4 linked regions of the Callithrix jacchus genome follow. The main gene of each other region encodes a partner of the protein of the gene in region 2 in a complex. Links are inferred from orthologs where the notes say so. Each region holds a gene or a part of one and is shown on either strand. Other genes may lie near its edges. The genes, in order: RAC2, CYBA, CYBB and RAC1.

Region 1 (7,863 bases), on a different chromosome or scaffold from region 2:
TAAGCCTGGGAAGCAAGCCTCTTCGTGGCTATGAGGCTCAGCTTCCCCGTGGGTGTCCTGCGCATGCTAATGGCCATCTCCCAGGGGGATCCAATGAGATCACGTGTGCATGACATCTTGTGCAGGGCCCAGCACGAAGCAGGCCTTTGCTAGGTGGTGGCTATGATCGCTCTTCCTGCGGTCCCTCCCATGATGTTCCATTCAGGTCAACTCAAAACACATGTGTTGTGTGTAAGGCAAGGTGTGTATGATACCACATAGAAGGTTCTGTGCTAAGACAATGGGGAGACCCAGAAAGGACTGGCCGTGGCTCCCTGTCCCCCACAGGCTCATGATCATGGGAGAGATCAGATAAAGTCTCTCTGGGGAGGGGAGACCCCTTCACCATAGATCAGAAAGGCTTCCTGGAGGAGGGGGCACTGGAGCTGGGTATGGAGGCTTTAGGCAGGTGGATGTGGGGAGAAAAAGCACTACGGGGAGAGGAACAGCTTGAGCAAAGGCCCTGGGGTAGGAATGTGCAGGGAACTTGTGGTGAACAGTAGGGTCCAGGGGAGGCAGGGCCTGAAGCCAAGTAATGGGTGATGAGGCCAGGCAGGAGGTTGAGTGAAGGCCATCAGGGGCCTTGAGTGCCATGCTAGGGAGTCAAGGAAATGTCCTAGGAGTGACGTGGGCCCCTGAGGGCTGGCCGGAGAGGGGCTGGTGCCTCCCCAGTCATCCGTCCCTCCTGAGTCTGACGCCAATACACTCCCGCCATGTCCAATGACAGCCCTGCCTCCACGTCCTGCAATAGAGCGCAGGGCCTCTGAGGCCTGCAGATGCCTCTGTTCTGCCCCTCAGCATGCCACGGCCCCAGGTGTCCCTGCTCCCTGGGGCCAGACCCTCTGGATCACCTCCTCCTGGAGCCCAGCCTGCCTCCACAGAGGCTCCTCTCCCAGCCCCTGCTCCTGCCCAAGCCCGCCGTTTCCTCTACAGCGCTTTGCTTGGAGACCCAGCCTAAAGGCCACTGCCTCCTTCCTTCCTCCCTTTCCACCCCTTCCCCCCCCCCACCCCCAGCACTTCTTAGTGCCAGTGCTGCCTTCTTGGCTGGACCATCAGGCAGCTCTGCTCCACTGGAGGCTGTGGCTCTGGCACCCCATCGGGTGCCCACACAGGGTCTGGCCCACAGGAAGTGCCTGAAAGCGGGTCGACTTGGTGACGTTCTCTCCCCTCCTCCCAGCACCTGCGTGTCCCCAGGAACTCACACGGTGGGGATGTACTCTCCAGGGAAGGCGTTGGTGGTGTAGCTGATGAGAAGGCAGGTCTTGCCCACGGCCCTGAAAGACAGGAAGTGCAAGAGGGCGGCGATCATGGGCTCTGCTGGAGACATGGGGAGGTTTCTGCCCCATCCTCTGCGAAGACCTCAGCATCCACCCAGCCTAGCCCTCTGGGCCCTGTCTCCCTGTCTGAGACACCCCATGTCTGTGTTCTCACACCTGAGAGCCTGCAGGTCCTGTGCGTGTTTGTTAAAGTGGAGACTTCAGGGTCCAGCCCCAGAGATTCTGACCCACAGGTGTTCGCAGAGCTGGGAATCTGCATTTCCCACAGGTTTCTCCAGGGACCAGAGATGTCACACAGAGGGGGTACCCCACAAACTCAGGCCATGCCGAGGGGCCCCGACGCCTGGCCTGGGCTTCAAATCCCAGCTCAGTGGCATGACCCTGGACGAGTCACTTAACCTGCCTCTGCCTCAGTTTCTCCATCTAGAAAATCAGGATGAGCCCATCCCCATAGGAGTGTGCTGAGGAATAAATCCAACGATGCCTATCGAAGCACCTAGCACAGGGCCTGACGCACGGCAGCAGCCGGTGGCTGCTAGGGAAGGCCTGACCCAGCTCTTCCCTCTCACCTCCCCATGGAGCAGAGCAGTTACTAGACCAGGGTTTGAGTCAGAATGGGCTGGGTTCAAATCCTGTGAGGCTTTGGGCAAACTGCATAGCTTCCCTGAATTCATTTTCCCACCTGTAAAAACCTATTAGGTTTGGTGAGAGGACAAATAGAGAAGGCCGGGCTAACCCCAGAGCTGGTACCTAGGAAGGAAGGGATCGGTAATCGGAGAACGTCATTATTTGCGCACCTCCCCCACCCCCAGCATTTGAGACTGGGAGCAGGTGCAGGTAGCTCAGCCAAAGCCCGGAGACCAAGGGGCAGCTCTGGGCCTTCCCCTGCCCTGCTTGGTTCTGTCACTTCCTGCTCAGAGGAGACAGCTCATCCTCTCCTCTCTACCACAGTCCTCCCCGGGGCCTGTCCCGAGGTAACTTTGAATGACTGGGACGTTAACCCTTGACTTCCGCCTGCCCCTCTTCAGATCAGATAGAAAGCAGAAGTGAACAGGCCCGGGCCGGCGTGGGCAGATAAGCGGCCATGTATCAGAATCAGCTGAGGCTGGTGGGCAAACGGGCCCACCCCCACCTGGATGAGTCAGAGCCAAAGTGGGGGCCACAGGACCCAGGCCAGGACAGCTGAGTCTCTTACAGCCTTGGGCTGCTCCTCTGTAGCATGGGAGGGCTGGACAAGAGGCTCCTTCCAGCTAGAACATGCTGCGATGGACTTACAGAAAGCCCCAAGCTGGGCCTGTGGGTTGGACCCTAAGACATGGCTGCTGGCAGGCACGACAGATTGACAAACGGGACCTGTCCCTTTATTTTGTGTTTTTAAGAGACAGGTCTTGCTCTGTCACCCCGTGGCACAACTATAGCTCACTGCATCCTCAAACTCCTGGGCTCAGGCGATTCTCCCACCTTAGCTTCCCGATAGCTGGGACTACAGGCGCGTGCCACCACTCCTAGCTTTTAAAAATGTTTTTGTGGCCGGGCCTGGTGGCTCATGACTGTAATACCAGCACTTTGGGAGGCCAGGCAGGCAGATCACAAGGTCAGGAGTTCAAGACCAGCGCCTGAGCAACATGGTGAAACCCTGTCTCTACTAAAAATACAAAAGTTAGGGAGGTGTGGTGGCATACACCTGTAATCCCAGCTACTCAGAAGGCTGAGGCAGGAGAATCGCTTGAACCTGGGCAGCGGAGGCTACAGTAGCCAAGACTGCGCCACTGTACTCTAGCCTGAGTGACAGAGTGAGACCCCCCCCCCCCCGCCAAAAAGATAAAAAAAAGTTTCTGTAGACATGGGTTCTCATTGTGAATGCCTAGGCTGGTCTCAAGCAACTCTCCCCACTTGGCCTCTCAAAGCGCTAGGGCTAAAGGCATGAGCCACTGCACCTGGCCTAGACTCGTCATTTTACAGATGAGGAAACCGAGATTCCCCAGGAGACATGACAGCCTGGGGGTCACTGGGATCTGACAACTGAGAAGGTGTCAGCCCAGCCTGCCCCTCCCCTGCAGATCCCACAATCGCCCTCCCATCCTGCGGCCACCTCCTCCCTCTCCTCTCTGTCTCTCAACGTCCCCTTGCCCCTTCTGCTCCTCGCCCACATCCCCCACACATCCTCCCCAACCCAGCAGGCTGAGGGGAAGGGAGAGAGAGGGGGGGGTGGTACCAGCAGGGGGTGGTTATTGAGCACACATTACAAGCAAGACAGCCACTCAGCTTATGTCCAGCGACCCCACAGCATCCCTAGGGCATAGGCCTCCTCCTCCCAGATGGCTGAGGTTCAGAGACATGCTGTGACTTGCCCAAGGCCACACAGCAGCACCAAACCAGTGACGAGAGCCCAAGTCAGCCTGGGGACGAAGGCTGAATTTCTGGTTTCCCACTTCGCGGGTGCATCCACAGAGTTGAAGGCTGAGGCTCACCTCCGTGGGAGACCTGCCCCCAGCTTTGGGGGTGCAGGTAAGGGGCCTGGGCACTCCCAGCCATAGTCCTGCACCCTCCACCCAGATGGCTTCCAGGGTGGGTGGGCTGAAGAGGGTGAAGCTGTCCTCAGCCCACCCCGGGGTGCTAGCTGTGAGCCCTAGGAGAAGAATGAAGCGACTCCTCCAAGCTGCCTTCCAGGGACACCTAATTCTGCAGAGCCAGGGGCTTCCCCAGGGACACCAGGGCGGGAGGATCTCACAGCATCCCAGTTGGGGGCTGTGAGGAGGTCCAGCCAGGCACCTACCCATCTCCAACCACCACACACTTGATGGCTTGCATCGTGTCCGGGGCCTGGACAGTGTCAGTGGTGACAGCTCAGGGCCAGGCGCGTTTCTGCAGGCACAAGGGGTGTGGAGGCTGGCAAGGCGCCTGCTGAAGAGCAGCAGTGGTGGGGTGGGAGGAAGCGGAAGGGGAACTTACCCAAGCTGCTGCCCTCAAGGTCGTTTGCAGGGGGTGGAGCATTCGGTTTGGAGGAGCAGCTGGTGGGCGGGGCGCTCAGGTGCTGGCTGAGCCCTGGCCATCCCTGCAGCCCCCCACCTCCGGCCTCCCCTCTGTGGTAGGAGGCTCAATTTCTGACCACTGGGCAGGCCCAGAGGCTGTTCTCCAAGAACGTGAGGCTTCCAAGTACACCTCAGTTCTAAGCACAGCATTTAATGAGTGCCTACTGTGTGCCAGACATACTACCAGGTGCTAGTGATCCCAGGATACAAGAGACAGCTGGTCCCTGGAGTTTACACCCTTTGCAGAGGGGGAGGCAGGACTTCATCACGGGAGATTAGAAAGCAGGCAGGAAGTGACTGGGGCAATGGGGACTCTACAGAGAGGACCTCAGTGTTACCGAGAGGGAGAGCTGGGGGCCTGCAAGCAGCATTGGAGCTGGCTCTTGAAACATTTGCTCTAAAGAGGGTACTCCAGGTTCACGGAGATTTCTTGAGCCAGGACCCAGGGGCTCCGCCAGGGAAGGGCCTGTGTGGGAGGATGGGGAGTGATGAGGCAGGAAGGGAAGGTGTGGTCCACAGATGGAGAAAGGCATGTTGAGGGGAAGTGGCAGGCAGTGCCCTACAGGCACCAAGCCTGTCCTGAGGCCGCCCTGGGTCACCAGGCACTCTGGATCTAGGAACTGTGGCCCACTTCCCTGATGTGAAAACTGACGGTCTGAGAAGTCATTTGACCACCTAGCCTGAAACCACCCTGACGCTCAGTTTACTCCAAGCTCTTCTCCAACTGGAGCTCTTGGCTCCAGCTGCTGTTTGAGGGGACAAAGCCTGCATTCTCCAGCTCTCAGGGAACTCCCTTAGCCACGAGGGCTCTCCGAGGACACTCGGGAGAACATTCGATCACCCCTGTTGGCACCAAGTTCACTGATCGTCGTGATCACTCCCCAACCCCACGCCTTTCCAGGTCCAGGGGGAAGGGACAGAGGCAGGGAGAGGAAGAGCCACTGGTCATCCACCCTGGACCGTCCCTCAGGACAAGCCAGGAATCCCACAGGAGTGTGCAGAGGGCCAGGGCCCGCTGGCTGGCAGAGCCCAGGATTCTCAGCAGGCTCCTGGAGGCCGAGCCCTTTCAGAGCAGTTCACACAAGTTACTGCGTTCACAACACTGATTTTTACAGAGAGGAAAACACAACTTCCTAAAGCGCCTGCCCAGCACCGGGCAAGTCAACTGTGACACTTACCAGCAAACCAGTGTCTCTCCAACGCGCTTTGCATACGCTGTGCTGAGACCTTGGGTGGGAGACGCCAGGCGTTCCCTGTGGCCACCCTGGGGCTTCCTCCTTCACTGCCCCTTTATTTTTCCACCCACTGCTAGTCCCTAGGGCAACCTCCGTGTTAATTTAAAAAACAAAAGGATAACGTATTAAATGCAGTGCGGTACCCCAAATTAGAACCTGGAACAGATTTTGGGAGGCCGAGGAGGGTGGATCACAAGGTCAAGAGATCGAGACCATCCTGGTCAACATGGTAAAACCCCATGTCTATTAAAAAAATACAAAAAATTAGCTGGGCATGGTGGCGCGTGCCTGTAGTCCCAGCTACTCAGGAGGCTGAGGCAGGAGAATTGCCTGAACCCAGGAGGTGGAGGTTGCGGTGAGCCGAGATCGCGCCATTGCCCTCCAGCCTGGGCAACAAGAGAGAAACTCGGTCTTGAAAAAAAAAAAAAAGAACCTGGAACAGAGAAAGAACATTCGTGGAGCTTCCATGAGACAGGAAGAGTAAGTTCTGGTGTTCTGCCACACAGTGGGGTGAATAGAGCAAATCACAACGTCGCGAATATTTCGAGAGAGCTGGGAGAGAAGGTTTCAGATGTTGTTGCAGCAGAGAAATGATACATGTTGAAAGTGATGGACGTGGGAATTACCCGGATTTGATCATTATATGGCTATGCATGCATCGAAACATCACATCGTACCCCATAAACATGTACAATTATGTGTCAATTACAAATAAAAAATTTTTTTAAAGAATTCATTTCTAGTTCTTGAAGCTCACTACCACCTCTGCCTCCCAGGTTCAAGCAATTCTTCTGCCTCAGCCTTGAAAGTAGCTGCGATTACAGGCATGCGCCACCACGCCCGGCTAATTTTGTATTTTTAGTAGAGACAGGGTTTCTCCATGTTGGTTAGGCTGGTCTTGAACTCCCGACCTCAAGTGATCTGCCCGCCTTGGCCCTCTCAAAGTGCTGAGATTACAGGCGTAGGCAACCATGCCCAGTCAGCAACTTCTTAAATCAATTTAAACAATTAAACTGGCTTTAGATCAGGTGTGGTGGCTCACGCCTGTAATCCCAACACTTTGGAAGGCTGAGACGAGTGGATCACAAGGACAAGAGATGGAGACCATCCTGGTCAACATGGTGAAACCCCGTCTCTACTAAAAAATACAAAAATTAGCTGGGCATGGTGGCACACGCCTGTAGTCTGAGCTACTTGGGAGGCTGAGGCAGGAGAATTGCTTGAACCCAGGAGGCGGAGGTTGCAGTGAGCTGAGATCACGCCATTGCACTCCAGCCTGGGTAACAAAAGTGAAACTCCGTCTAAAAGAAAAAAAATAATATATATATATGAGGCGGGGTACAGTGGCTCACGCCTGTAATCCCAGCACTTTGGGAGGCCGAGGCAGGCAGATCACCTGAGGTTGGGAGTTCCAGACCAGTCTAATCAACATGGAGAAACCCTGTCTCTACTGAAAATACAAAATTATCCGGGCATGGTGGCACATGCCTGTAATCCCAGCTACTCGGGAGGCCAAGGCAGGAGAATTGCTTGAACCTGGGAGGCAGAGGTTGTGGTGAGCCGAGATTGTGCCATTGTGCTCCAGCCTGGACAACAAGAGCAAAACTCCATCTCAAAAAAAAAAAAAAAAATCTATATGGAAGTATAATTTGCATACAATAAGTTTTATCCATTTAAAGCATATAGTTCCATTCGTTTTGACAGATATATGCATCCACAAAACCTCCCAGGATACAGAGCATCATAGAGCATTTCCATCACCTTGAAAAGCATCCTTGCACCCCAGCATAGCCCACCTCTCCCTCGGTTTCTCCCTCCCCACCCCTCCAGCCACCGCTCAGCTCACACACACAAACTCTGATTTGCTTCTTGCCATGCAGATGACTTTGCATTTTCTAGGATTTCACCGACCACGTGGCATCTCACCCAAGGCCTTTCACACAGCTTGTTTTCCAGATTCGTCACGTTGTCACCTGTGTCATGGTGTGTCTATCCCAATTACTGCAGTTCTGTATCAGATCTTCATACCGAGCAGGGCAAATCCTCCACTCTTGAACGTTTTCAAAATTGCTATTGTTGCCACTGACTGTTTGCTCTTTCATATAAAGTTTACAATAAGTTTGTCAAGTTCCAAGAAAAACTTTGTGAGGATTCTGATTAGAATCGTATTCAATTTCTAGAGGAATTTGGGGAGAACTGACATCTCTATAACATTGAGTCTTCCTGTCCATTAACATGGTATATTGCCCCTTTATATCCTTTAATAAAGTTTTATAATCT
Region 2 (7,859 bases):
CTAGAAACACAGACTCCTGGGAGTGTGTGCTGTTCATCTCCTATCCCATAAAAAACACAGCAGGAAAATATGTCACATTACACGAGGAAGGTATACACAGAATCCTGCACACACACTAGAAGGTGCACACCCGGGGGAAGCAGCTCTCTCTGCGGGCGGGAGGAACTTGCACTGGGGACAAAAGGAAATGAATGAGCAAAGTCCAAGGGCTCTGTCCGCCCACAGACCCCGCGTGAGGGGCAGCCTGCAGCCATCTGCTCCGGAGCCCAGGGCAGGCAGGGCACTGCACCCAAGGCCTGTCCTGCTGTGACCTGTCCTCCTGCCCATCCCTACCCTCTTAGAAGGACCACTGTGTCCCACGAGCAGCCTTCTAACAGGGTGCTAGTGTCACAAAGCTAACCCAGGTGTCGGCAGTTTAAAAAAATGCGTGGCAGCGTGCATCCTGGCACCGCCCATCAATCAGCTCAGACAGGGTTCAGGTGAGAAAAGCCTGATAAGTGGACCCAAGCCCACGTAGGGCCTGCAGCAGTGGTGTGATTCCAGGCCAGCTCCGGCACCTCTGAGCCTCCTGATCTTTGTCTGTAGAGCGGGGACCCCAGTACCCCTCCCAGGGCTGTGCTGCGGGGAATGAGCAGAGAAATGAGCAGACACACAAGATGTGCAGAGCAGCCGCTGCAGCAGTCATGTCCTGCCACACTGTGAGTTCATGCCGCAGCTCGCACTTGCTTCCAGGCTGGCTCAGAGCCAGCTTCAAGGACCATGCTTGTCTGAGGGTGTCAGGGCAGGGCTGGGCTGGGGGTGGCCGGAGCCGACCTCAGAGAGCACTACTCACCAGCAGGTAGATGCCACTGGCAATGGCCAGGCAGGCGGTCCCGAGGATGGTAGCCAGCAGGAAGCCGGCAGGCACCGACAGCCTGGGGGGGAGGGACACAGAAGGGCACTCAGAAAAGGGAACGGAGCCCCAGGTATGGGGGCCAAGGCCATGAGGTCTCAGGACAAGACAGACCACAGACCAAGGGGACATGTGGAGCCAGGGGCTTGTTTGGGTCCTAAGTGTTCTCAGCCTTGATGGGGACATGAGCAGCTCTGCACACTTGGAAGGAAGCCCCCGCAGCTGTAGGGCAGCCACACGCAGGTGTCCCGGCCTTGGCCGGCAGCGACCACCAGACACACAGCGTGGGAACTTCCACGCTACCAGGAAGCCCAGGCAAGACCCCCCAGCAGGGCCTGTGGGCCCAGTCCACTCTGCTGTGATCGGAGCTGCTCAGGTCTGGGGAGGATCCTTAGGAATCCCACACACTGGACAGCAGATACAGGCTCCAGGGGCCCTGACACACCTGGGGACCCGAATTTTGGTTTAGAAAAATGTCCAGGTAAGTGGCAGTGGCTCCAGGCCAGGCAGCCCGGCAGGTGGGACAGTGCTCCAAGCCGTCCTGAGCCCCAGAGGGGGTGGGGTGGGGTGGGGCGGGACTCACAGGAGGTGCAGGATGGCCCGAATGTAGTAATTCCTGGTGAGGGGCCCGAACAGCTTCACCACGGCGGTCATGTACTTCTGCCCACTGTGGGAGGGAGGAAGGGGGACAGTGAGGTGGGCCTCTCCCACTCCGGACCGCTCCAGGGCACCCGGGCCTCTTTCCTCCCAGGCAACATGCCAGGCAGGCACGGGCCTGGGTTTGCCCACAAGGACCGAATGGTTGGTTCCAGAGCCTCCGAGCGAGGAACCAGACTCCACATACCAGACCCTGTGGGCCCTGCTTGGGCCCCACAGCCCTGGGACAGACCCCAGAGCATGCAGGAGGTGACTCACCAGCGCTCCATGGTGGAACCCTTCTTCCTCTTTCCGCGGGGGTACTCCAGCAGGCAGACAAACACGCCCGCCACACTGAAGCCATGTGGTTAAGGAACAGCCCAGTTCAGCCTGAGGGGCCACACGGTGAGCCCTCTTTACTAAGACAGCATGAAGAGGGGCCGGGCATGGCGGCTCACGCTTGGAATCCCAGCACTGTGGGAGGCTGAGGCGGGAGGATTACTAGAGCCCAGGGGTTTGAGACCAGCCTGGGCAACATAGTGAGGCCCTCATCTCTACAAAACATTTAAAAATTAGCCAGGTGCGGTGTCATGCGCCTGTGGTCCCAGACACTCCAGAGGCGGAGGTGAGAGGATTGCTTGAGCCCAGGTGGAGGCTGCTATGCGTCATGATGGCACCGATGCACTCTAGCCTAGGGGACAGAGCGAGACCCTGTCTCAAAAAAAAGTGGGGTGAGGCAGCCACTGCCTGAGGTCACAGGGCAGGAAACAGCCACAGGAGGTGCACCTGAGGCTGGCCCACACCTGCCCTCATACCACCCTGCCCATTGCTCCTTGTTGGGAGGTCTGGTAGGGCAGCAGGGCTGAGATGGGGCAGAGGAGGTGGAGGGGCTGGCCAAGGTGGATGACTAATGGGGATCCCAGCAGTCCTAGGGAGGCCCCAGTGCTGGCCCTGGCCCTGGCCCTCAGGGGACACCACCTGCCCACCCCTCGCTAGGACTCAGGCTGGCAGGTCTGCCACTGACCACCACATGGCCCAGGCTAGGGGCCTGGGCTGCCCAACCCCTGGACAGCCCGCCCTGTCTTCCAGCCTGGCTGCAGTGCTGGGGAGCGGAAGCAAAGTGCTCCCTGTGAAGTGGCTCCCAGGCTCTGCCCTGGGCATTCCCTGCCCACCCCCGCCTCAGGTGGAAGGATACATGGAGTAGGCTCCAAAGTACCACTGGGTGAAGTGCCCGGCAGTGGCCACAATGCCCCCGGTGATGAGGACTGCGGGGAGAAGTGGGTCAGGCACTGAGTGGCTCCCATCCTGGAGGCCTGGGCCACCCCCTTTCTCTACCATGGGCCACCAGGCCACCAAGAACTGTCTTCTGCAGTCCATGTGTTTGTCCCTACGGATCCCCACAGCACAGTGACAGAGTCGGGGACACCCCAGGAGGCAGCCCCCTGCGCTGGTGAAGAGCAGAGCTGGTGGCGCATGGCCTGGCGGAGTGGAGTGTGTGACGTGCCTGGGCTCCGAGGCCCAGGAGCGGCCAAGGGACGGCCTGACCTGCAGGCACCAGTGGGCCTGTGCTCCTGGGCTCTGGGACCCCCGAATGGACATACTTGTCACCGTGTCTTTGTTTGATGCATGAAAGCCTATATGCCCAGTGTGGTTTCTGCATCTGGGAGTGTCCCTGGCGCAGAGCTTCTCCAAACCCGGCAGCTGTCGGTCTTACTTTTGGTTCCGACTGATGGGGCCATTTCTGCCCCTTTCTTTTGCTTATTTTCTGATACTCCCTCTTACTGGTTTCTTTTTGGGGGGGGGACAGAGTCTCCCTCTGTCACCCAGGCTGGAGTTCAGTGGCTCTCCTAATCGCAACTCACTGCAACCTCCTGGGTTCCAGCAGTTCTCCTGCCTCAGCCTCCCAGGAGCTGGGACTACAGGCGTGCACCATCATGCCTGGATAATTTTTGTATTTTTAGCAGAAACGGGGTTTCACCACATTGGCCAGGCTAGTCTTGAACTCCTGACCTCAGGTGATCCACCTGCCTTGGCCTCCCAAAGTGCGGGGATTACAGGCGTGAGCCATGGTGCCTGGCCCTGCTTACTGTTTTCTAGACAGGATCTTGCTGTTACCCAGACTGCAGTGCAGTGGCACAAACACAGCTCATTGTGCCACAGTCACAGTCACAACCCGCTGGGCTAAAGCAGTCCTCCCACCTCAGCCTCCCGAAGTGCTGGGATTACAGGTGTGGCCGCCTCACCCTGCCAGCATTGCTCTTGTCACCCCTTGTTCTTCCCTGAAGATTTCCTATCCGTGGTTTGAGCTCAGCTACACATTAACTCCCTGACCTTGCCCATCTGCCTTGGAGGAAGGCAGGGCAGTGTCCTTCAGTCCACTCAGCCTGTCATCCGTGCATCTTTGGGGAAGTGTCCCAGTCCTGAGCCTGCCCTCCGAAAGAGGGTGCAAGGCTGCTGCTGGTGCCACCAGGGAGGCCTGAGGACATACTGTGGCACCCAGCCACACTTATAGAGCACCTGCTGTGTACAGGGACTCTGTCAAGGGCCCCACTCTCTCAGGGCCAGCTGCCTCCTGGGGCTCCACGTTCTGGAGACCTCCCCAAGCAGGTGGCATTTGAGAAAGAAATGGGACAGCCATGAGGCTCTGCAGAGGCAGCAGCTTGTGCCAAGGCCCTGGGCATGCTTAGAACATACAGAACAGAAAGGAAGCCCCGGCAGCTGGAGGAGGGGGTGGGGAGGCTGGGGTGGGCAGATCAGGGCAAATGTGCAGCAGGGTGGGATGTTGGACTGGGCTGGGCAGGGCGGTCACCCGGTGGTTTCCGTGCCTTGTGAAATCCCAGGCGACTCCAGATGAGGAGGGCTGAGCCCCACAGCATGAGGAGCCCACCTTCCCACCCCAAGCCCAGGGGGGCCTGATCCCCAGCCCAGCTGGCTACCGAAGGGAGGGGAGCTTCTCCCGATGTCCAGGCCAGAGCCCCCACTCAGGGGCCTGGGGGGGGGGCGGCGGCGATCACCCCGGAAACCACCGGGGCTGAACCGCCTCTTTCCCTGCGCTGCAACTTCCTCCTTCGCGGAGTCGGGGACTGAGGGAAGCGAATGGGGGAGGAGGCGCCGCTCCGCTGGGTCTGCAAGCGGACTGTTCGGGGTCTCGGAACTCCTCCTTCCAGCCCCCGTTCCCCGCACCCTCCGGGCCTGATCCCATCACAGCCCAGCCGCCTGGTGCCCCACTTCCCCGCCCGGTAAGTAGTCTGAGGTCCCCGGCTGGGGTCTCGGGACACCCCCAGGCTGCAGCCTCCACCGCCCCTGCCGCGCACTCACTCAGGCCGGACGCCAGCGCCTGCTCGTTGGCCCACATGGCCCACTCGATCTGCCCCATGGCTGCGCAGACCCGGCTGGGACACTGCTAGGCGCGCACTGCCGCCCCTGCGCTCCCGGCCCAGTCCCGCCCCGCCCCGCCCCGGCCCCGCCCCCAGCCCCCCAGGTGACCGCGGGTGGGCGGAGACCCGCCTCTAGGGTGCGGGGCTGTCCCGGAGCCTTCTGCCCTCGCCCTCTCCAGACGCGACCGAGGCTCAGGAGGGGCTCAGCGTGGCAGCCCCAGGCCAGGCGGGGCGTCTGCGTTTCCCAGCTTCTGCTCTCCCGCACTGACTAGTGCCCCTGCCCAGCGCAGGACTTCCAAAGTACCACTGTGTCCTTGTTGTCCTGTGTCAACAAGCCTTCTAGGAACAGCAGAGAAAGGTGTGAAGGGTCAGCTTCCTGAGCAGATCCGCCTCTCCCGAGCCTTGGGGGTTGGGGGCCACCCCTACAGCTCAGGACACCTCTGCACCCTGATGCTACAGGGGCCAAGGGTGGCCTCCCCGTGGCAGCCTGAGGCCCTGCCCCCATTTCTTCACCCTGACTCTAGGCTGGCACAGGCGTGGCCTGAGTCTGACACTGTGGGCCTCCCCTCGCCATCACTGCACTGTGACTGTGACTCAGGGGGAGGGGACAGGGACAGCTGCCCTGTCATGTCCAGCCTGCGGATGGGAGGCAAGGGTTGGTGTAAGGGTGAGGAGAGGGCAGCAGAGGTGATAAGTGGGAGGTGGGCCCAGTGCCCATGGGAAGACTTTAGGGGCGGCCTGAGGCACTGTGGGGTTTCAGGGGAGCCTCCCATGCCTCTACCTGGCTCCCCAGGCCCTCACAGGGCACACCTGGACTCCCTGCAAGTCCCAGGCCACTCTGAGCAGGAGCCCAGGAATGCTGGTTTAGGAAACAGGAAAACAGGAGGACCTCACTGAATCTAAACAACAAAAGAAGGAAAACAGCAGGAGACAGAGGCCGCAATGCCACTTTATTCCCACGGCCACGAGGGCCATGCTGCTGCCCACTCCTGCCACCATTCCCGTAACACCTGGGCCTGGGGGTCTCATCGGAGACACTTGGTGGCTTCCTGAGGCCCAAGGTGGCTGCTGCAGCACAGCGACCCCTTCCCTGGCCCTGAGGGATGCCAACTTCCTGCCGAACTCCCGTCTTGGAGCAGTGGGAACGGCCGGAGCGCGGTGAGAAAGCCCTTCAGCCCTGCCGCACCTGGCTCTGCCAGCTTTCATGCCCCAACCCCATCCATCCTGGCGAAGTGCTGGTGTAGCTGAGGCACTCGGTGGGGGCCTCTCCTGACATCCGGCAGCCGCAGGTCTCCCCGCACTGCCCCATAGCACGCTGCCCATGGGCCCGAAGCCAGGCCACCACACACAAGTCCCAGCGGTCCAGCCAGTCCACCACACCCGCTTTCTAGCTCTGGTGAGGACACCCCTTCTCCAGGTGGCGTGCAGTCCTGCGGAGGCGGTCAGGCAGCTGGCTTCGGCAGGCCATCAGGACCCAGGAGGTGGGTGTAGGGGTCATCCAGGATTTGAGGCCCCGGCCCCACCTGGAGGTAGAGATCCATGTCAGGTCACCAGCAATGGCAGCACACTGCCCTGTGCCCCAGCATGTGTAGGGGCTGGACACAGGAGAGCAGCAGTGGGTCCTGGTCAGAAGCTATGCCACCCAAGTGACACCCACACCCAGCTCCTGCAGGCACAGATGCCCCTGCCAGCTGGGGGCCCTCTGCCTGGGGCACTGCCTGTCACTGGGTAGACAGAGGACCACAGTGCCTGGAAGCACACAGCCCTGTGCCCGCGGCCCTTGAGAGGAAGTTGAAGGCAATGGCTCGGGCGGGTGTGATCGCTGACAAGGGCTTGGCCCCCTGAGCAGGTCAGAAGCAGGAGTCCTGGTCTACTGGGCCAGTTGGGGTGGGGGGAGCCCCAGCAGCACCCATCCCAGGCACTCCCCTCCTGTCTCCCTGGGAGCCTGCATCAGACTCATCCTTCCACCCCAGCCTGGCCCAGTCCTGCTGCTCTGGCCTCGCTAGTGGCCTGCAGCCTCCTGTTTGAGAGCAAATGAATGAAATGCAAGTGCCAAAGGCATTCTGGCCTGAAACACGGTAGGGACAGGGAGCAGGGCTGAGCCTGGGCGGGCCCCTCTGGCAGGAAAGGAAACCCCACAGGGTACTGGGCCTCACCTGAGTGGCGATGATGTACTTGACCCCACCAGGAGTCGGCTCCATGGCCAGCGCAGCCTTAAGTTCAGCGGGGAGAGAGGCTGGCCTCACCTGCAGCCCCCTCAGAAACCTGGAAAAGCAGGGCAGGGGCATGGTACACATGTGCATTTCTCTAAGCGTCTAGGACAGGCAAGGCCAGAGACAGGAAGGTATTCCTAGCTGGCAGGGCCCAGGGAGGGGAGATGGCAGGTGGCTGCTATGGAGACAGGGATGGAAAAGTGAAGGAGGTGGCTTCACAACCCTGTGAATGTCTCCACCCATGGGATGCGGGATCCTATGCTCTCGAGACGGAGTCTCACTCCGTTGCCCAGGCTGGAGTGCAGTGGCATGACCTTGGCTCACTGCAACCTCTACCTCCCAAGTTCAAGCAATTCTCCTGCCTCAGCTTCTGGAGAAGCTAGGACTATAGGTGCCCACCACCTTGTCCAGTTAATTTTTGAATTTTTTGTAGAGATGGAGTTTCACCATATGGGCCAGGCTGGTCTTGAACTCCTGACCTCAGGTGATCCACCTGCCTCAGCCTCCCAAAGTGCTGGAATCATAGGTGTCAGTCACCACGCCTGGCTGGAGACAGTAAGTTTGAGGTTATGTGGTAAACAGCTATGTCCAGGCTGGGGCTGCTCTGAAGGGACCTTCAAGAGGCCTGGGCCCGTGTCTGACCAAGGCTGCTGCCCAGCCCCCTGGGGTCACAGCTTAGGGAAGTGCCCAGTTCGAGCTTGTGCATTTGTCACGGTGTTCCATGGAACAGCGAAAGCCTGC
Region 3 (7,333 bases), on a different chromosome or scaffold from region 2:
AGAGAAAAAAAAAAGACAATTTCAAGCTTTGGGATGAGATGTCTACAAAGCAGGTAGGGGAATTTCCTGTCAATCTGTGGCCCCAGGGCAGAGTCCCCTCTGCTCCTTTGTCTTTTCCACAAATAGCAAAGAGTTCACATTGCTCAGAGGGAGTGTGGTTCAGCCTGTTTGTGTGAGCAGCTGGATAGTTCAAAAGGTAGTTGACTTCCCTGGAAAAATAAAGTCTGACCAATAGAAATTTTGGAACTTTTATCACAGAGAAAATGGGGGTGAATTCATGAGTCTTTCGGCTACTTTCCCTCAGGGCTCTGTGCCCCCTAAACTCTCCCTGGCATCTTGAAATTAGGAACAAGCCAACTATGCTGACTACTTGGTGTGGCTTCATTTCTCTAAATTTTAGAGTCTAAAGCCTTGTTCAAAGTGTAGTTTCTGATCAGTAGCCTTGCCACAAACTTTTAAAACAATGTGGATTACCTGGCCCTACCCCAAATTTTCTAAATCAGTATCTGCATTTTAAAGAGATCCCCAGGTGCTTTGTATGCTTATTACAGTGCAAAAAGCAATAGTCTAAAGGGTACATGTATGGTGAGCGCTTGAGTTTCTCAGGTGTTCTAGCAAGATAAGGGATCCCCCTCAAGGTTTTATAATGACTAAAGTTTTAGTGAGAGCAGAAAACACCTTGAGACATCTGTCACCTTAAGATTTTAGACCCAGAAGTTATAACTAAAAGTGGAGACAGTGTCTTCTTAACAATAAGTGTAAATTATATCGAATCTTTAAAAGAAGTAGTTCCACTATTGAAATTTAGTAGACTAAAGAAAAGAACGAAGCTGTGCCCCTACTTGGGACAAGCAGGTTCAGAAAGTCTGAGATGGGGACCCGGGAAATTTTTTAAAAATAACTCTCCAGGTATTGTTTATAAAATTTAAATATTCCTTCTTAAAGTTGAAGATACCTGGGATGTACTGTTGGACATGAATTCAACCTTTATATAGTAATATATGTATCTGAGTTTCTAAAATATACAATTTTCAATATGTATCTGAGCTGCTGCTTTAGGCAGACACAAGCCTAAAAAACATCTTGGTGACAGACTCCTTACTTAGGGTGTTGACTTGCAATTGTCTTGAATTCGTTATCCCAGTTGGGCCGTCCATACAAAGTCTTTTGTTTCAGGCCTGTGATCACATCTTTCTCCTCATCATGGTGCACAGCAAAGTGATTGGCCTGCAGGAAAGGACATGAATTCAGAAAAAGACGTGCTGTAAAATCACATACAATGTATTTACATAATTCACAAACTATTCTAACCAAGGCACCCTGCTGGATGTTAGAAGGTAAACAAAGATGAACAAACTGGATCTCTCTCAAGCAATTTACAATCTAGAAGGGGAGATTTGAAGTACAAATATAAATAGTCCCATATGTCGAACAGGGTGTGATGAGAGTCATGAAAGAGGCACAAGTATCCTAACGAGAACAAAGAAGGAAGGTGCAGTGGAAGAACAGGGGAAGGTTTAGGGCCACAGGATTTGAGTCAAGCATTGATGAATGAGTAGTGTCTCATTGTTTTTCTCTGTGCTCTATGTTTGACTTTTGCACTTTACTGTAATATACTTAAACTCCTTTGGGAGAATTACTAGAAGATGTAACAATTTTAGACTAAAATGCAGCAATACTTTGGTTGCATAGTGAGACATCGAATCAAGCCTAAAGCGTGTGTGTGTGTGTGTGTGTGTGTGTGTGTTTGTGTGTGTGTGTGTTCACATGCTATTTTTCTGCTACAATCTATGAGGCTTCAGTTTGAACAACAGGTATTTTTCATAAAAGTGGTTAAATTTATTTTTAAAAAGTAAATCAAATTTTAAATTCACTAGATGGATAATGGGCATAGAGGAGGTTAAGAAAGGTGGGCACTCTGATTTAATAATTCTATAGACAAGTTTTGCAAAGCTAACAATTACTTTTTCAATACCAATAAATTACTGAGTTTAAAAAAACACCTGTGCCTGGCTTTTTAAATAACAAAACAGTAAAGCAACTTATATACTATAGATTGTTTTCCTGAGTTTTATTTTTATCAAAGTGTTTTTGTTGTGTTTTTAAACTGCAGAAGTGACATTTTGAAACCACTTTTTTTCTGGAGCAACAATTTTTATGGTTATGTTTCCCTAATTCATATTTGCTACAAGAGTCCTTTAAGACTTGGAGAATCTGTGATAAATAATATGTCAAAACCCAAATGGGAATCCAGTCTTCACAGTGACAGGGTCCACATGGAAAATGCCCAGGCTTGCAGAACCAGTGTCTGTGAATACCCAGCTGCTGTAGTCTGAATGTGTCCTCTCCAAAATTCAGTTGCCAATGTGATAGCATTAAGAAGTGGAGCCTTAAAAAGGTGATTAAGACATGAAGGATCATCCCTTATGAATGAGTTTAAGGGCTTTGGAATACAGTCGTCACACGGTATTTGACGAGCCTGCCCTTTTTCTTGCCACCATGTAAAAACACTGTATTTCTCCCACCCAGAAGATGCAGCCTTTCCTAGACAACCAAACATGTTGGTGTCTTGATCTTGAACTTGACAGCCTCCAGAACTTTGAGAAAATAAATTTATTTTCTTTATAAATTATCCAGTCTCGGGTGTTTTGTTATAGCAGCACAAATGGACTAAGATACCAGCTAAGACACTGGAAAGACACATGCAGAGACTCTTGCCTTAGCTTCTCATTCATGGTGACAGCTTATGCTGTTTCCAGGCCAAGTCATTAATGTTTCCTTATTAACAAAGATGTTACCCCTCCAGGAATCATTGACTTGTTTCAGGGTTTGTCAATCTCAGAACTTTTGATACTTGGAACTGTACAATTCTTTGTTGTAGGGGGCTGTCTTGTTAATTGTAGGATATTTACATTGCCAACTGTCTCTGGTGTATGTCTGGGCTGGGGGAACAGAGCAAAATTGTCCCAGTTAAGAACTACTGGCTTGCTTTATTATAGTGGTCTCCAAACATTTTTGAAAGACCACTCTCATTGTACACACACATACACATACACACACATACATGCATATATATCACCTTCATTAGATATATATTAATTTATTTACAAATGATAATCATGAACTACTGGGAGATGCTGAGAGTGCAGGCTCTGGTACATTCTGTCTCTGTCACTTATTTGTTGGGTGCTCTTAGGAAAATGACCTAACCTGGCCTGAGTTTCTTCATCTGTAAAATGTGGATAATAATAGGAGCAACTTCATAGTGTTGGTAAGAGGATAAAATTATACAGTCTATGTAAATAGATATATAAGAATAATACCTGGCAATATACATGCATAATAATTATACATGTAGTAAGTATATTGTAAAACATGCAAAAACATGTAAATTAAATGATTTTATAAATACATATATGCATATAAGTGTATGTGATACATATATAAATACATAATAAAATATATATGTATATACAGAATCCTTTATATACTTATGCATGTTATACATACAGATGCTCCTCAGCTTACAATGGGGTTATATCCTAATAAAACCATCATTAAATTGAAAATACCATAAGTTTAAAATGGATTTAATACACCTAACTTAATAAACATCATAGTTTAGCCTAGACTACCTTAAAGGTGCTCAGAACACTTACACTATCCTACAATTGCACAAAATCATCTAACACAAAGCCTATTTATAATAAAAGGTTTAAAATCTCATGTAATTTATTGAATAAATACTGAAGTATGGCTTCTACTGAATGCATATTGCTTCCACTTCGCTGTAAAGTTTAAAAATCATAAGTTGAACCACTGTAAGTTGGAGAGTGTCTGTTTTACACACACACACACACACACACACACACACAGACAGGGAGAGAAAGTTAAATTTCCCTCCCATAACCCAATGCATCATCTCATCCACCTGGTTTCAGAGTGCCTGGTGGGAGAATTGCCCTAATAATGTCAAGGGCATTTATTCCCTTACAGGCTCCTTGACTTTGAATCTAGTCTGAACAGTCTAAATATAATGTGGGGATACCGAATGAGAGTGAATGGACTTGATCACTAAATCCACTAAGTGTACTTAGAAAAATAATAGTACACAAGACACACCAATAACCAAGGGGAAGTCCGTAAGTCCTGTACACTATGGGAAGGACCTGAGCGTTGGAGTCTTGTCCTTACCTGAGACTCATCCCAGCCAGTGAGGTAGATGTTGTAGCTGAGGAAGCCAGCATTGTTACTTTCCTGCATCTGGCTCTCCAGCAGCTGCAGCAGGTCTGCAAACCACTCAAAGGCATGTGTGTCCCGGCACAGCCAGTAGAAGTAGATCTGAAAATGCGGTGGATCATGAAGCAGATTATATTTGGTAGGCCCTATCAGCGTTAAAATGTGATTTCTACTTTCTGTTCCTTAAACTTTTTCCTGTTGCTCAGAATGCCTAGAAACATAGATTCTCAGGAGGTTCTGAACATTTCACAGGCTAGTTTACATGAACCTGCTCTGGTCTTCATGGCTAGCAGGGCAGTAAATAACTGACTTGACCTCAGAAATATATAGCTTAAGGAAAAACTATTAGCCCACCAAGTTTCCCTCTGGGTCTGCTCTTCCTTTGAACCTCTTCTCAGAAAGTCTGGCTTCCTTTGAACCTCTTCTCAGAAAGTCTGATGGGATTTAGACTAGCAGGGACTGCCACAGAAATTCTTCCCTGCCTGCTATTGCCAGACATTCATGAGTTTCTAGGTGACAAATAAGGTTGTACGCACATCCCCTCCCACATGGAAAAGAGGTACAAAGAGAATGAAAAGTCAAAGTAGGCTTAATGTCCCTATTAGAGTTTATCTTTTCAGTTATTAGAATGGCCTGAGGTTTATTTGGGATGCCCTTTATTCCACAATAAAACCAAATTTATAGGTAACCAAAAAATCCCCTGTGAATTGATCCTGAGGAGATATTCATAAGTAGAAATTTCAGGTCTCCTCTCCTCCCTTTGCATAAAAAGTATTGGTGACAGGGGGAGGGGGGCTAGAAATAGAATCAATCTCAACATCCAACACAAGATGAAAGAAAAATTATTCAATATCCTCTCAGTGGAACATGAAGGGATCATTTAAAATCATCATTATAAAGCCTGTGAAGACATTGAAAAACACTTCCTATAATATGTTTTTAAAAAGCAGGACATGAAATTATACATGCTCAATATACAAAACTTTCTAAAAATATGTAAACGTGAAAATATTAGAAGAGGATATACAAAAATGATAGCTATTAAATTGGAGCTGTGAACACTTTCCCATCTTTCTTTCTTCTGAACTTCCAGCATCACTATACAGATACAATGTTTTCCCATCACTAATAGGCCTGCTTTTCTAGAAGCACATTGGACTTAGTCTTTTGAAGAAAGGTCTGTCTCTCCGGAACCACTGGAAGCTTTTCTTCACATCCCATGGTCTCTGTCAACCTCAGCCCTGAAAGCACTTTCAGGCTTCACATGGCAGAGTGTGGTGACTGCTTCAGGCCTTCCAATAAATGAAAGGACTTACCTTTTTGAGCTTCAGATTGGTGGCGTTATTGCAATATTTATACCAGACTGACTTGAGAATGGATGCGAAGGGTGTGACCCCAATCCCTGCTCCCACTAACATCACCACCTCATAGCTGAACACATCTTCACTGGCAGTGCCAAAGGGCCCATCAACAGCTATCCTGAAGAGAAATGGGGAGGAGACAGTTACAGAGATGTCTTGTTCTTCAGAGTGAGCTGGGACACCTATGATTATTGGGGATGTGAAATATGTTAATTCATATTGGAACAATGTATCTATTAGGTGCTTCTTTCTACGAAATACCTTTCAAGTAACAAACCTTAGTGCCAATGTTGGGTTTGGAAGTAAGAAGAAAAATATTTGGGTAACCAAAAACATTTGGTAACTCAGCATAAGTATTTTTTTATCTCCCCACCCCACTTCACACACAACAAACCCCCCTCCACACACACCCTATCTCTTGCCAGGACATCCCACTCGAAACTTCTGCACGTGCTGCACATTGAAGTGAGAATTTGCCATATCATAACATTTTGTAGATTTAATGTCTCCACTTTTCATTTGTCTATTCATTCAGTTATTCAACAAACTCTCAAACCTTTCTTTATCATCTACTAAGTACCTGATACCATTGTTAGGCATGCAGGGAAAAGGAGGCAAGGGGGCTAATATATGGCATTTAACCTCAAATAAATTATGCCAACTAAAATTTAAGAATATTTTTGATATACTGTAATTTTATTTGTTAGGAAAGTTAATATAACTTGGCTTTGACCCTTACATATTTAAAGGAGTTTGCGGGCATTTATTTCTAATATTTGATTCAAAAGTTTCACAGTTCACATAAGATTTATAAAAATATGCATAAACGCATATGAAATAGCGACCACAGAAATAGTTACCTATATTCTTAGAACCTGTGTGTTTTGTTGGAGACTTAGTAAAACATGGAAGAAAAGGAGCTATTTAGTGCCATTTTTCCTGAACTCATACGCATTGGTAATGTGTAGTTTTTACTCACTTAGGTAGTTTCCAAGCATCTTGAAACTCCTGCTTATCACAGCCACAAGCATTGAACAGCCCCTCTGTCCAGTCCCCAACAATGCGGATATGGATACTAAAGAAGTCTTCTTCGGGGGCAGAGGTCAGTGTGAAAGGGTGCCACTCCAGCTTGGACACCTTGGGGCACTTGACAAAAATGTATTGTCCCACTTCCATCTTGAACCCCTTCTTCTTCATCTGCAGCTCGATGGTTTTGAAAGGATGAGTGACCACCTGTAGAATAAAGCATATGTCTGGAAATGACATTTTTCCTAAATACTTGCCTTTTTAGTGTCCATATGGATAAAAAAAACTGAGCTACATTGGCCCATCTAGATCTCTGCTTTAGGACCAACAAAGCAGTTCCTTCAGCAGCTGTGTCTGTCACAGGGAATTGCCCTCAGTTGTAGCCCATTACCAATGATGGGCTGACAAAGGAATACTCAGGCCCAGTTCCTTTTCCAAGGGGCCATCTCAATTCCAGCATTCCCTATAGAATCAGCTGAGGTCACAGTTGCAACTAGAAAGAGGATCAGCTTTTCTTTATCCTCATTTCTGCCTTCCTATTTCCTTTCCAGGTTTATCTCCTACAGATTGCCTTAGAAACCTTCTTCATGCAGTTATTTCTCAGTCTTTACCAGGGAACCCAATGTAAGAAATCAGCCCATTGTGATTTTTTTTCCTCTCAGAAGTGAAAAAAGTGCTAAAAATTTTACAAAAAGTGATGTTTCCTG
Region 4 (7,122 bases), on a different chromosome or scaffold from region 2:
AAATGAAGACCAGTGCCTAAGAGAGGTGCAGGTCAGATGACTTCAGGAAAATGGATATTGGTAAAATGACAACACATCTGAACATCTTGAGAGGTTTAGACAATAGATGAAAATTCACAGTTGAGGACAGGCACAGTGGCTCATACCTGTAATCCCAGCACTTTGGGAGGCTGAGGTGGAAGAATGGCTTGAGGCCAGGAGTTCAAGGCCAACCTAGGCAACATAGGGAGATCCCTGACTCTACTAAAAGTTTTAAAAATTAGCCGGACATGGTTGCACACACCTGTGGTCCCAGCTACTCAGGAAGCTAAGGCAAGAGGATCACGAGCCCAGGAGCTGTGATGGCACCACTGCACTCCAGCCTGGGTGACAGAGCAAGACCCTGCCTCAAAAAAAAAAAAAAAAAATTCACAATTGAATTCCATACACAGAAAAGCAAGCAAAGCACTGATTATCCCAAAGGAAACCAGAAGTTATTCAGGAAATTGTTTTTTCTGCTACTGAGCATGGCCAGTGAGCAGTTTACATAGCAGAGACCGTGCAGGCACTAAACTGAGTCCATCGAAACCATCATACTGAGGAATGAGCAGCGTTTTGGGCAGAGAGTTGCAACTGGAAAAGCAAGCCTCACATCTTCTGTAGTGGGAATGTTGATGAGAATGCTGAACTCAGAAGTTTCACTTACACAAAAAGCCTAATTCAGACACGGGCAGGTAAAATACCAAAAATTAGGTAAGCTAACAAAGTATTCCTTCTAGAGAAGGTATGAAGGGGAAAGACTTTTCTTTAAAAACCACTAAAACTTTTTTAAACTGCATATTGCCAGGTATGGTGGCTCACACCTGTAGTGCCGGCACTTTGGGAGGTCGAGGCAGGCAGACTGCTTGAGCTCAAGAATTTGAGACCAGCCTGGCCAACATGGCGAAACCCTACAAAAAATAAAAAGAAAATAGCTGGGGAGGGGGGCGGTGTGTACCTGTGGTCCCAGCTACTTCAGAAGCTGAAGTAGGATAGCAGGAACACAGGGGGCAGAGGTTGCAGCAAGCCAAGGCTGTGCCACTGTACTCCAGCCTTGGTAACAGAGCCAGACCCTCTCAAAAAATAAAAACTGCAGCCGGGCATGGTGGTTCACGCCTGTAATACCAGGACTTTGGGAGACCACGGCAGGCGGATCACCTGAGGTCAGGAGTTTGAGACCAGCCTGGTCATCATAGTGAAACCCCCTCTCTACTAAAATTACAAAAACTGGTGTGTAGTGTGTGCCTGTTAATCCCAGCTACTTGGGAGGCTGAGGCAGAATTGCTTGAACCTGGGAGGCAGAGGTTGCATTGAGCCAAGATTGCACCATTGCTCTCCAGCCTAGGGGACAAGAGCAAGACTTTTGTCTCAAAAAAACAAAAACTACATTATTTATCTCAGTTTAAAAAATACTCAAAAACAATCTTCAAAGCAATAAAAAGGAATACTAAGAAAACTAATTTTAACATAAACCTTTGTATAGTGCAAGTTAAGCCTTTTTTTTTTTTTTTTTTTTTTGGTAGAGAGAGGTCTCTCTTGTCCAGGCTGGTCTAGAACTCCCAGGTTCAAGTGCTCCTCCTGCCTCAGCCTCCCAAAGCGCTGGGCTTTCAGGCATAAGCCACCCATCCAGCCTCTGGAAAGGACCTTGAGGGTGTGTGGTTCACCATCCTCTACTCTTCCAGGGCCAGTCTGGGGTCCCAACATCTGCATCTTCAAGCTCCAAGCTCTGGGCCAGGATGTGCGCTCACACCCCGACGTGGGTTTCTTCATCAGAGCGTCACCGCTGTTCAAAAGGTCCAAACATGAACGTCACCTCCATGCCTGCTCTATTAACTGGGCTCACCCAGTTCTCCCCGAGATGGCACTCCCTCTGTCCCTCCTGTGTGGAGACACACATTGAAAATGACTGTCTCCAACAACCCAGGACTTAAAAGTGAGGCAAACAACATACACCAGGAACTTGTTCAAGTCTGAAAAACGCCAGTATTACCAGTCTTGTATGATTCAAGGATTTATTAAGTCATACATGCAAAACATAGTGCTAACTGCATTAGCAAAAGATCAATGTAAAAACACTCCACAATTCTGCAACTGTCAATTTAAAAAATGTTGTAGTGGTTGAAAGGTCCAACGTTGTATTCTTGCCAGTGAGTTAAGTTGTACAGAACATCGTCAGCACTAGCACAGTTTACAGAACCTCACAGACCCAAAGGAACATCATTAGGCAAAGCAACTACAGGAGGCGTGTGTCCGCATGGGCGAGGTCAAGAGGGTCAGTATTGGTCAAGTGACAGTGTCGGTAATCCGGCAAGACAGTGATGTTAAGAAGGTTCATAGTTTAAGAATTATCTAAAATATTTTAAAAACTATAAAGCTGCAACACATGATTTTTACACCTAGTTACTAAAAAACTAAGGAAAGCACTTATTAGCTCTGAATAAAGTAACATGGAAAGCACTTTTACTAATCTACAAAAAAAAACTAATGCATTATCAGAAAGATTTTATAATACAAGGAGGCATATTGCTCAGTAAGAAGGGGTTCTATAAGAAAAGCACTTACTAAGTTAGCGACTAAGGGAATGACCAGTTTAAAGATGAATTAAATGCCCAATTTGGGGAGGGATGGCAGGTGCAAGAGAAAGGAAAAGCTTAAGAAAACACTTCCTGATAATACCAACCTTTCTTTCATCATCTACTGCATTTGACAGAAATTAACCTTTTAGAGTTTTTACCCGTGACACTTTTATTCCTTGTACAGTGTAGTGTAACTCTCCACTTCGTATTTTGTCAAAATACCGTCATCGTCCTTTGATCACACACACCCCACCCGGCACACCCACAACTAAACAGAATACTTCATTAGAGGAAACACATGAGTTCTGTTCAAAATCTCAGCAAAAGCTGATCAACTAATTTTTAGAAAACTCACTATGAAATCAAAAAGACTGATCCAAAGAGCTGAGCTGTTTACACCCATTCCATCACAGTACAATGTTAGGTCGTGAACATGGGCTGATATATCACTGGTGAGTTTAATGGCAACGCTTCATTTGGGAGGCTGTTCTGCTTTACGCATCTGGAAACTACTTAGAAAGTGTCTGCATCTCCTAACTGCAGAAGCTACGGTCTTCTGAAAGACGAAGGTCTTACACAGTTTAGTGCTCAGTGTTCTTAGCACAACAATGCAGTACAGTTCAGAAGGTATTTTGGCAACTCTTAATCTGAGCAAGAATAGGGGCTTTTGAAAAATAAGGCTTTAAGAAGGCTTGTCATTTTAGGGCTAAATTTTAATAGAATGTGAGTCTGAACTCTTACATTTAGAACAAACAAAACCTTAAAATTACTGATTGGTTCAAAATGGTTTTATGGAAAAATTAATCTGTAACAAAAAGTTGGCATTGAGTGCGAAGGCTCCACCGTTTTTTTGAGCAAAGCGTACAAAGGTTCCAAGGGACAGGGCCAAGAAGAAGGGACTCGGACATTTACAGCAGCAGGCATTTCCTCTTCCTCTTCTTCACGGGAGGTGGGCAGAGGACTGCTCGAATCGCTTCGTCGAACACTGTCTTGAGGCCTCGCTGTGTGAGCGCCGAGCACTCCAGGTATTTTACAGCACCTACAAGAAACACGGCCACATACAATGTACACCACTCTCTTCTGATCACAACACCGCCGGGAGGCAGCTCCTGGGGCCTGGGCACCTTCTGCCGGCTCCCAGCCCTGCCTCCATCTTCCAACGCTGACATGAAGACCCAGAGGGCCTTGCCAACTTGTTCCCAAGAGTAAGCCGGGCCCCGAATAGGAGACACTCCCTCCTTTCCCAGACTGGACTCCAGTCAGTCACTAAAAGAGGTACAAGGCAGAGGAAAAAACGCAGGATTCCATACCAATCTCCTTAGCCATGGCTAGACCCTGCGGATAGGTGATGGGAGTCAGCTTCTTCTCCTTCAGTTTCTCGATCGTGTCTTTATCATCCCTAAGATCAAGTTTAGTTCCCACTAGGATGATGGGAGTGTTGGGACAGTGGTGCCGCACCTCAGGATACCACTAGATGTGAAGAAGGAACAGAGGTTGTGAGGCGCTCCTTTACAGACGTCCTTCACCTAAATCACATCCAGCAGGCAGCACGCACGCTAGACACCTAACTTCAGGCACTGCCGCCCCACCAGCCTTCATGCAGTTCACACCTTCAGCCCAACCCTCGAGCCGTAAGGAGCATCTCAGGTGTTCCATTAGCAAGCCAGGACTTCCAGATCATGATGATCAGGACGGGACAGAATGGGCTCTACAACCATGGAAGGGGGTGGGGAGAAGAGGACAAAGGGAAGGAAGTTCCTCCCAAAGCAAATAATTTTGTCTTTGGTAAAACAAGTTCTTAGGGTCATCTGAGAAAATTCATCATCTGTTCAGAAATGAGAACAAACTACCTAGCCCCAGGCCTCAGCTCTGCTGCCATTATCCCCACTGAAAACGTCCCTACTAAAGGGCCTCTGTTGCTTGTCATTTTTACTAAGAAGTTTGTGAAAGAGACTGGAGTAGAAAGAAATGGTTATTATTTTTATTAGAACAATTCTGAGTGCTTCATTATTTTAATGAGGCCCAGGAAACTTCTGAACCAGAAGCTGAAGCTTTAAAAATCCACGAATTAGGCCGGGTATAGTGGCTCACACCTGAAATCTCAGCACTTTGGGAGTGTGAGGCAGGTGGATCACTTGAGGCCAGGAGTTCAAGATCAGCCTGGCCAACATGGTGAAACCCCATATCTACTAAAAGCACAAAAATTAGCCAGGTGTGGTGGTAAGCACCTGTAATCCCAGCTTCTCGGGAGGCTGAGGCAGGAGAATCGCTTGAACTGGGAGGCAGAGGTTGCAGTGAGCCAAGGCTGCACCATTGCACTCCAAGCCTGGGTGACAGTGCAAGACTCTGTCTCAAAAATAAATAAATAAATAAATAAAATGAACTGCTGATGAGCCAGGCACGGTGGCTTATACCTGTAATCCCAGCATTCTGGGAGGCTGAAGCTGAAGGATCATTTCAGCCCAAGAGTTTGAGACCAGCCAGGGTCTACAAAACCAGCTCTACAAAATTTTTTCAAGATTACCCAGGCATGGTGGTGCACATTTGTGGTCCCAGCTACTCGGGAGGCTGAGGCAGGAGAACTGTTTGAGCCCAGGTGTTCGAGGTTACAGTGAGCTCTGATGTCACCACCACACTCCAGCCTGGACAACAAAGTAAGACGTCCATCTCAAAAAACAAACCAACCCAATTATGTACCTAAGTAGCAAACTGCTAAAATCCAATTTAACTGAAAATTCCTAGCAGTAAATGGTATTTTGAAGTATTTCTTTCTGAGAGGATCATTCTATAACTTACATACATACTTTATATCCCCACCTACCTTTGCACGGACATTTTCAAATGATGCAGGACTCACAAGGGAAAAGCAAATTAAGAACACATCCTACAAAAAGGAAACACAGGGAAACATTTAGACAATGACCTTAGAACAAAGCATGCACTTTGTGTTCTAGATGTTGCTGGGAAGCACTTGTCAGGCAGAGAGCGTGTCTACTATACTAGGTATAGGCGGCTTGGTCAGACGCTCCCTGATCCACCCAATCCACCCTTTCAGTTTGTCAGAGGCTCCCAAACCAACCCAGCATGTCAAGCCACCAGTTACTTATGAAAATGGGGAGTGTGAAGGGAGAATGACATGGGAAGTTCTTCGAGGATAGGGAGGATCAGACCAGACCCCTGGGATGTTTCCTTTCTGCCTATCTAAACAGAAAAAAAATCAAGTATGAAGGTATGCCAACATTTCTGTAAAATCTGCTCTCCTGTTTCCCAAAAGCAGAGTTAATTTTAAAAACAGGATCTGCTGGGCATGGTGGCTCATGCCTGTGATCCCAGCACTTTGGGAGGCCAAGGTGAGTGGATCACAAAGTCAGGCGTTCAAGACCAGCCTGGCCAAGAGGGCAAAACCCTGTCTCTAAATACAAAAATTAGCCAGGCACGGTGGCAGGCACGTGTAATCCCAGCTACTTGGGAGGTTGAGGCAGGAGAATCACTTGAACCCGGGAGGCAGAAGTTGCAGTGAACCGAGATCAAGCCACTGCACTCCAGCCCGTGAGACAGAGCAAAACTCCATCTCCGTGAGACAGAGCAAAACTCCATCTCAAAAAAATAAAATTAGGCTGGGCGCGGTGGCTCAAGCCTGTAATCCCAGCACTTTGGGAGGCCAAGGCACATGGATCACGAGGTCAACATGGTGAAACCCCGTCTCTACTAAAGATACAAAAAATTAGCTGGGCATGGTGGCGCATGCCTGTAATCCCAGCTACTCAGGAGGCTGAGGCGGGAGAATTGCCTGCACCCAGGAGGCGGAGGTTGTGGTGAGCCGAGATTGAGCGCCATTGCACTCCAGCCTGGGTAACAAGAGCGAAACTCCGTCTCAAAAAAAATAAATAAAATAAAATAAAATTTTAAAATAATAATAATAATACAGAATCTACAAAAAAAATCAGGCTCCCCACTGGCATGTCAAGTACAAATGTTTTTAGGTGGTCAATGGTTCAATTCAACTCCTTTGGGAGGTGGCCTGTCACAGTTTCCAGCACCAAGTGGAGGCTCTAATATTTGCTACTCGGGTCCTTCCCTCCACAAGGAAGGAGAGCTTAGTGTGTAACTGGCACCTTCACAGCTGAAAACCATGCTCACACTGCCCTAGTGTCAGCACAGCCAGGGCCTCTGGAGAACTCGCCCCCAGGGCAGCTGTGGCTAAAGCAGAGGCATGAAGAGTGGATGCAGAGGACACAGTGCAGAGTGCTTCTGACCTCCATTCTGTACTTTGTGTCAAATCAAATTCAAATATTTACCTACAAGTAAATTTAAAAACGCCTAAGAATTTCTAAAATGCTAGATTGATCAAATATTCTCCTGGAAAAAGGCAATTATGCTACTTTACGAAATGCATACAATTCCCAAGCCACACTTTCAACCATCCAGCTTTACCTCGTACCTGAAAGGGAAAGAAACATCCCACACAACAGCTTTTTATAACTGGCATTTGAAGAATGCTGGCGCATGCACAAGCTCATCCAAGAAT

What was found.
Region 1: CYBA (region 2) and RAC2 share a complex: the UniProt entries of both Homo sapiens proteins name them as parts of the phagocyte NADPH oxidase complex. The link is inferred for Callithrix jacchus from reciprocal best matches to the Homo sapiens genes CYBA and RAC2.
Region 3: the proteins of CYBA (region 2) and CYBB are in contact, whole or in part, in a cryo-EM structure (PDB 8X2L), measured with the Homo sapiens proteins. The link is inferred for Callithrix jacchus from reciprocal best matches to the Homo sapiens genes CYBA and CYBB. Residues at the interface, in NP_000092.2 of Homo sapiens: Gln3, Ile4, Glu5, Trp6, Met8, Trp9, Glu12, Gln13, Ala16, Ile20, Thr23, Val27, Gly31, Phe33, Thr34, Gln35, Arg56, Arg59, Met65, Gly102, Phe103, Leu104, Leu105, Ala106, Ile108, Leu109, Ala112, Cys113, Ile116; in NP_000388.2 of Homo sapiens: Thr116, Ile117, Leu120, Phe121, Val123, Glu124, Asn128, Asn133, Lys161, Asn162, Pro163, Gly166, Leu167, Ala170, Val180, Thr183, Leu184, Ile187, Leu188, Thr191, Ser192, Thr194, Lys195, Thr196, Ile197, Arg199, Ser200, Tyr201, Glu203, Val204.
Region 4: CYBA (region 2) and RAC1 share a complex: the UniProt entries of both Homo sapiens proteins name them as parts of the phagocyte NADPH oxidase complex. The link is inferred for Callithrix jacchus from reciprocal best matches to the Homo sapiens genes CYBA and RAC1.

Annotation. Positions count from the first base shown.
Region 1 is NC_133502.1:208,153,913-208,161,775, forward strand, and holds the start of RAC2 (ras-related C3 botulinum toxin substrate 2), read right to left. Parts: upstream 4,239-7,863; 5' UTR 4,128-4,238; coding exon 4,093-4,127; intron 1,314-4,092; coding exon 1,242-1,313; intron 1-1,241. UniProt on the Homo sapiens protein: Plasma membrane-associated small GTPase which cycles between an active GTP-bound and inactive GDP-bound state.
Region 2 is NC_133521.1:46,305,210-46,313,068, forward strand, and holds the start of CYBA (cytochrome b-245 light chain), read right to left. Parts: upstream 4,945-7,859; 5' UTR 4,905-4,944; coding exon 4,847-4,904; intron 2,794-4,846; coding exon 2,724-2,793; intron 1,883-2,723; coding exon 1,808-1,882; intron 1,560-1,807; coding exon 1,476-1,559; intron 915-1,475; coding exon 833-914; intron 172-832; coding exon 82-171; intron 1-81. Other genes in the region: MVD (diphosphomevalonate decarboxylase), read right to left, coding at 6,348-6,428, 7,062-7,170. UniProt on the Homo sapiens protein: Subunit of NADPH oxidase complexes that is required for the NADPH oxidase activity that generates, in various cell types, superoxide from molecular oxygen utilizing NADPH as an electron donor.
Region 3 is NC_133524.1:38,589,284-38,596,616, reverse strand, and holds part of CYBB (NADPH oxidase 2), read right to left. Parts: intron 6,834-7,333; coding exon 6,580-6,833; intron 5,719-6,579; coding exon 5,556-5,718; intron 4,342-5,555; coding exon 4,195-4,341; intron 1,228-4,194; coding exon 1,103-1,227; intron 1-1,102. UniProt on the Homo sapiens protein: Catalytic subunit of the phagocyte NADPH oxidase complex that mediates the transfer of electrons from cytosolic NADPH to O2 to produce the superoxide anion (O2(-)).
Region 4 is NC_133503.1:16,136,277-16,143,398, reverse strand, and holds the end of RAC1 (ras-related C3 botulinum toxin substrate 1), read right to left. Parts: intron 5,479-7,122; coding exon 5,416-5,478; intron 4,065-5,415; coding exon 3,905-4,064; intron 3,634-3,904; coding exon 3,503-3,633; 3' UTR 2,017-3,502; downstream 1-2,016. UniProt on the Homo sapiens protein: Plasma membrane-associated small GTPase which cycles between active GTP-bound and inactive GDP-bound states.